Linked DNA regions of Arabidopsis thaliana. The protein of the gene in region 1 interacts with the protein of each later gene in a pairwise test. Each region holds a gene or a part of one and is shown on either strand. Other genes may lie near its edges. The genes, in order: GATA7 and ESE1.

Region 1 (3,762 bases):
TTTGCTTTAGTATTTTACATGTACAAAAAAAATAAAAAAAATGGAGTCACCAATATTTGTGTATGCAAACAGAAAGTATACCAGTTTGTATTCTTAAATATATAAACACTGTGTCAACTATCAATGATACAATAACATAATTTAGAAAATAACCAATGCATTGGTATTTGTAGCCGCACAAGTATTAGATCGATATGGATTGATTTTCAGTTTTTTTAACATAAGAGTGTGAATGAGGGGCTCGTACGTCGTAAATTTTTAGGGTTGTGTAATTGAAAAATTAAATTGATTTTTGGTCAAATTTTATCTTTTATCTTGTCTCAATGTTAACAACTTCTATACTGGTTTAATAAAAATATACAAAATTCTACTTTAACTTTAAGGGGCAACGACGATATTTTGAAAAAACAGTTATAAAGGCAAAATTTCAAAATAACGTTTTAACAACTTTTTTTTTTTTTGCATTAGCAGTTTTTTAAAAAAACTCTAAATGAAAAGAGTGTGAGCTAAGAGGAAGTAACAGTAGTTAATTATGGTTGTGGTCACAAAAATTTGGGTAACGGTTGGACTGTATTTAACAAAACTTTTAATGATCATGATTTCTAATCATGCATACTCTATCAAATAAAATTGTCTCTAATTATAGCTTAACTTCATGAATGTGAAAACAGTCTACGGATCTCTCTCTGATTCTCTGTTTACAAGATTACACAATGCACATGGCATTGATAAAATTTCAAGATAGAAAAAAATGGCTTAAACCCGAGCCGGATCCGCCACTTTCATGAGCCGTAGCTCCAACACTTTCCGGTGAGAGTTAGAGTGAATCTCGTTGGTGAATGTTGGGCTACAAGCGGGTCTATATTCGGGTAAAAGTCGACCCGACTTAAACCGGACCCCACAAGCATTACACAGTGTCTTCGCACCTAATGGACCCATTCTCCATTGAGGCGTCTTCTGGACTCCACAATGGCTGCAGCACCGCCTCAGCTGCTGCTGCTGGACTACGCCACCGTACGATGCATCCACCTTCTGTCTCCCTCTCTTCTTCCTTCTGGCAACAGCGGTGGATAGCAGAGGAGATGGAGACTCCATAGACCAGATACGGCCGTTGGTGCGGCGGCGTTTGCTTCTAGGTTTAACAGGAACGCACTGTCTCCGAACCTCCACCGACGCGACTGGATTCACCGGGAAATCACTCGAAATATACGATTCTGAGAAAGAATCCTCCACGAAGTTGGATAACCACTCTAAGTCCTCCAAATCACCAACCTTCACAAACAAAACAAAAATGAGATTAAAAACAGAGCAAAACAGAGCAAAAACAGGGTAGAGAGAAACAGAGTGTACAAAACAGGGGAGATAGAAACAGAGTGTGTAAGTGGGCTCACCGGAGCGTCGCCGGGAAAAGATAAGAGATCCTCTGGCGGTGAAAGACGGGTACTTTGGTCAGAAAAGCTCTTAAATTTCTCACGTTCTTGTTCGTCTTCTTTTCTTTGTGACGAAGACGACTCTAAAGAAGTGTCGGCGTTAGAGAGGTCGAGAAGATCGTCGACGGAAAAATCACCGAGAAATGCTTCTACACACTCCATTTTTGTCTCTAGCCGTATGAAAGCACTACAAGTATTTTAAATAAAGGAGGAGCGAAGCGAATCCATATTTGAAAAAGTTTGTTCGTGTTCCAATATATTTTACACAAATTTCATTCTTTCTTTTTCAAAATTTTAAATTCTTTACGTGTCTATCGAGTGAGAGAGACAGTGGAGAGTGGACAGCACTGATTGGGGTTTGTAAGCAAGAGTGGGTTTTAGGTTTTTGTGATTTTGGAAGACTTGTTTGGTATTTGTCTCGTTACAAATCTCGTAACAAATCATGCATTGCCATGTCAGCATTTCACATTGAAAAGGAAACCAAAAATACGTTTCCTTCGTAAGTAAAATGTTTTTTTTTTTTTTTTTTAAATGTTATCTGAACTTATCCGTAGAATTTTATTTAAAGATAACCGCTCTTTGTAGTCAATTCAATTTATTAGAGTTCTTAATGCCAAATTTTAAGTTCATAATATTAAAAGACAGCAAAGATTTCTTCATAATTTAGAACTATCATTTTTGACTTAACCATCGGCGCAGAGTTTGCAAGTCTTTTTAAGTTCTTTTACTATCAAAATAACTGAATAAAGTCATTCAGAACTAGTGGTATTCTAACGATCTAATGGCTCAACCTAATTAATCATGACCGTTGAAAGTGTTGTTGGGCCAAAAATATCGTCGGTTAATACAACTTTCCCTCTATATAAAGCTAGTTTCTTGCAAAATATGGTTTTTTTTTGTTAACATAAAAAAGAAACTAGTAGCACATATATATATATATATATATATATATATTTTTTTTTTTTTTTGTTGTATCAGTATTTCGAAGGTTTTACAGAAAAGAAGAAAAAAATTAACAATAATTCATACGTCGAGAGTAATGATTGGACTATCAGGCTTCTCGGGCCCACTCGACCGTCGGTGGAAGGCCCAATTTTACCAAAACAAACAAAAACGTTATTAGTAAGGGCCTATTATTTATTTCTTCTTTAATTTCAAGGAAAGAGTGACCATCATATGTTGAGCGCGTGAAAATATCGCTCATGGTTATATATTTGTTTTTTCTTTGAGATAATAATTTCCATTAGAAAAAGTCGGTTTCAAAGTTAGAAAAAAAACATCTAAACATTCACGTAAAGTTTACCAGGAGCAATGGAGCATAAACATATTCAAATTACACACATACCTAAATAGTAAATAATAATAAAATACATAGACTTGTATTTTTATTATAAATATAATGAACTACATTCCAAACAATTGGGTGTTTGGTCTAGTGGTATGATTCTCGCTTCGGGTGCGAGAGGTCCCGAGTTCGATTCTCGGAACACCCCTCTTTAAATTCTCTACTGCTACATCAATTTTTTTCCCCTCGGATTAAATTAACGCAAGAAAGTCGTAGACTGATGACATACAATATGGTGGTGGCTCACTAAACTGACTATATGCCTAATTAGCCCGATGGGCCACATGGGCTCAATGCAAGTCGGTAAAAGGTGGAATGTTATTGAATGCGATGTATGTTGGCAGAGGAGTAACCGTACAAATTAGACTATTTTATACCCATGAAATCATTATCGTTCGATAACATAAGATAGTAAACTTTCATGATCTCGTTCTCTATGCATCCATCTCTCATCTGTGTAGTGTAGCTTTTTTTTTCTTTTTTCCCCACAGTATTTATCTCGTAAACTATACTTTCATATAGTCATATATGTGATATGAACATTGACACTGTACGTAACTTATATGATGATTAAGTTTACATGAAAACCATTCAAGTTTTTTTAAAAGCGTAAATACAAAATTACTTCATGAAATTTACGTTTATAATTTAAAATGAACTTCGATTTAAGTTATTTGCATTCAGAGAAAATAGAAATTAATTAAATGTAGCAACGATGTAAGTGATAGCCATAAAAATATCACATTCTTTGTATATCGGAAATTTGGTTGAGCTTTTAAGTCTTGAACCCTCGGATAAAAAAAAATGTACACTTGAAACCAATATAGCATTGCTCCATAAATATCAATATCTTAGACCCAAAAAACGATATTGTTATTCCATATCGGATTTTAGTCATTTCGACTATTTTCCCAACTATTTTTCCTACTGAAAGATTAATTACAGATCTACTATTGGCCCCAACATTTGGTTCACTAGACAACCTGT
Region 2 (3,370 bases), on another chromosome or scaffold:
AGATAGATCTTCACTAAGTTACTATATATGATATTATGCCAATATAAATTAAAGTGTTGTTATTGTAGGCGAAATAACTAATAAGTTCTGTTTGTGTGATTAGCCTCATTGCTATAACTCCTTCTTGAACATTGTAAAATTCCTCAGTTTGTAGAAGAGAAGTCAGACGAGAAAATTTTCATTATAATTAACCATCCTAGAGAATCTATGGACGATGAATTGATATCGGTGTGCTAAAAGAAATATTCTAATAGAACAATATATTATCTTTTTACTTGAAAATCAACTTTGCCAACAACTAGAACATCGTCGTATGTGAGAAATTGAGATTATCGTATCCGATCAAGATGATCATCTATAATAAATTTTTGTTTAAGGAAAAAAAAAGCAGAATTAATATCAACTGTCGTAGTTAAAGTTTTTAAGATAGACTATTAATCCTTTGACTAGGAAAATATGAGAAAACTAGGATATATTGCAAATTTATTTGTTTAAGTATGAGAATCGGTCAAGTGACATTATTGTCTCTGCAGAATCTTTGAGCGCGATATATAGTTTGTATCCACACCACCACAGCAAATAGTTGAGTAGAAAAACCAATAGACCTTGTTGACAAAAAAAAAAAAATAGAGAAGTAGGAGAATAAAAATATATCATTTTTTAGATTCAATGGGATCTCCATAATATTATTGAAAAGAAGAGGTAAAATTAAATTTATTTATAATCAGAAAACTAAACAGAACTTTTTTTTATCTAAATCTAAGTAAACTATTCTCGAGTTAGATCAATGATATATTGTAGGACACTTTTCAGATTCTAGCCAGTAAGGCAGTAACTTGGGCCAAGTCTATTTAATTTATACCCTGAAGCCAATCAACACACTTGTGAGTTGTGACAACTAGTAATTTAAATTTTCCCGGGAAAATTGACTCATAACAGAATAACTTCCTAAACTAAAGTATATTATATTGATTATTACTCTTTACTCCAAAAACATTACACTGTAAGTAAGTAGTGATGATCTAGCGGTTTGCGTCGTTACAATTGTCTTGGTTAGATCTCTCACCATAATCTAAAAGCTCCTCCAATAAACTATCATCCAAATACTCGAACTCAATAACTTCCCTCCCATCATCACCACCACCTCCTCCTCTATATCCCGACGACGAGGAAGCCACTGCATTCTCGTGGCTGCCATTTGGACCGTCCTTCATCATTTGATACTCGTGAGGAAAATTGAGAATGGCCCTTTGGCCTCTCATGCCGAAAGCTGCTCTATCATAAGCCCGAGCCGCGTCTTCCGCTGTGTTAAACGTCCCAAGCCAAACACGAGCACCGTGTCTAGCTGAGTCGCGAATCTCCGCCGCATATTTTCCCCATGGACGCTTTCGTACGCCTCTGTATTTCATCTCATTCGTGTTATAAGACTCTATACGTTCCATGAAAGCTTTTAAGGTTTTTGTTTTTGCATGTACATGAGTTGATAGCTATGACAACTTATACGTGGAAGTAATGTGACTCTATTAGAGAAATCTAGTGGATATTATTTTAACGCACGTGCCTGTTCAAAAGCCTCCTTTAAATTACCAATAAAGTTAAATCAGGGGGATAAATTGCAAATAAAAATATTTATATGCCATCGTAATAGTATATGAAATTTATTGGTGCGACTAAAAAATTGGATATATTGTGGCTGCTCTGTGTACATTATAATATATGAAGAATTAAGGGACTAAATTGTAAAAATCAAAAAGATAGGGTCGTATGTGTATCTGGATGGTCAAGGAGACGGCTAAGTTGAATGAAAGTATTTTTATGACAACGGACCAAAAGATACTCTCAGCCTCTCACTTTTGTTTTTTTGGGTCAAGCTATTTGTTTTTGTTTTTCCTTCAATTAATTGACTCACGTGTCAAATTTAAATGCACGTGTAGTAGATTCTAGTCTTTTAAATTTCAATTTGACCATCGCCAAACACATAGAAATGTGTGTGAATTGAATCATAATACTTATAAAGACATGTAAAATATGATACACTTATAGTAGATAACATAAAATATTTCTGCATTTTGATAGAGCATACTACTTTTGTTTTTGTTTTTCCTTCAATTAATTGACTCACGTGTGAAATTTGAATGCACGTGTAGTAGATTCTAGTCTTTTAAATTTCAATTTGACCATCACGAAACACATAGAAATGTGTGTGAATTGAATCATAATACATATAAAGACATGTAAAATATGATAACACTTATAGTAGATAATATAAAATATATATACAGTTTTGATAGACAAGTTATTTCAGTTTTAATAACATATATTTTAAAAAATATAGTTAAAATAAATTCAAATTTTAGGAGTTGTGTGTATTGTAAACCTATTTGATCAAATTATATGTACTTTAGCATGATTATATCACTACAAAACATTGCAGAAAGAACATTTTAGAACAGCTGTATATTAGCTAGGTTCAAAAAAATAACTACAAATGTCAAATCATGGGCTTAGGCCTCTTAATTCGACATTGTTACTGGGTATGTTGAGCGACCCAATAAGCCCAACAAACTGTTTCCCACCAATGCTTGAAGGCCATATATTGGACAAAGGATATTAGTTTATAAAAACATCTTCATCTCAAAATATGTAGGAGAACAACTTTAACATCCAATAGAATATGTTCACTTTTGTTAACTTTATATATTACCCTAGGTCGTATCATCTTTTCAATGTGAAATTCCTAACACGTTCTCCTCGAAATAATGGTTTTCCGTCCAATTTCGAATTGATCACACTATGCAAATATTACGTAGATCAAATATGGTCTCTAATACCACATTAAGTTTCATAGCTTTTAACTTGAAATTAATTAACAATGAGTGTATTATCTCATATCACTATAGGTCCCATCACATGTTGGATGTGGGTTATGCTTAAAATAATTTCGAGTATTGAAATGTGTATTTTCATGAGTATAAAACAAAACGAAAGAAATCTAATTCAGAAATTGGATAAAGTTGTGGAAGTAACATCAGCATGTACCAAATAATTTCACTTAAACAAAAAAATGTACCAAATAATTTCATAACATAGGTTTTAAATTACAAAGATAAAATATAATGAAAAGATCATCTCCGGGAGATAGATGCTTGAAATCCGAAGATGCATGGCGGCGTTTGAAAACACCAACGAACGTTTTGTTGTTCCAACTTCCAAGTGTCAAAAACTTAAAAGAAAACATGAATGATTCTTTGATTCTTTCACTGTAATGATCATGACACTGCTTCACTTGTCTTTCCTTTTCTTCGATTGGCCATTTTCCCACTTTGTGTCTTTTATTTGTTCCTGCTTTTATCAAAGTTAGATTTTTTTT

Evidence for each region.
Region 2: the proteins of GATA7 (region 1) and ESE1 interact in a two-hybrid assay, tested with the Arabidopsis thaliana proteins (one large-scale study listed by BioGRID).

The regions. Positions count from the first base shown.
Region 1 is NC_003075.7:17,146,620-17,150,381, forward strand, and holds GATA7 (GATA transcription factor 7), read right to left. Parts: upstream 1,878-3,762; 5' UTR 1,593-1,877; coding exon 1,392-1,592; intron 1,273-1,391; coding exon 757-1,272; 3' UTR 521-756; downstream 1-520. UniProt on the Arabidopsis thaliana protein: Transcriptional activator that specifically binds 5'-GATA-3' or 5'-GAT-3' motifs within gene promoters. May be involved in the regulation of some light-responsive genes.
Region 2 is NC_003074.8:8,286,041-8,289,410, reverse strand, and holds ESE1 (Integrase-type DNA-binding superfamily protein), read right to left. Parts: upstream 1,470-3,370; 5' UTR 1,443-1,469; coding exon 1,023-1,442; 3' UTR 809-1,022; downstream 1-808.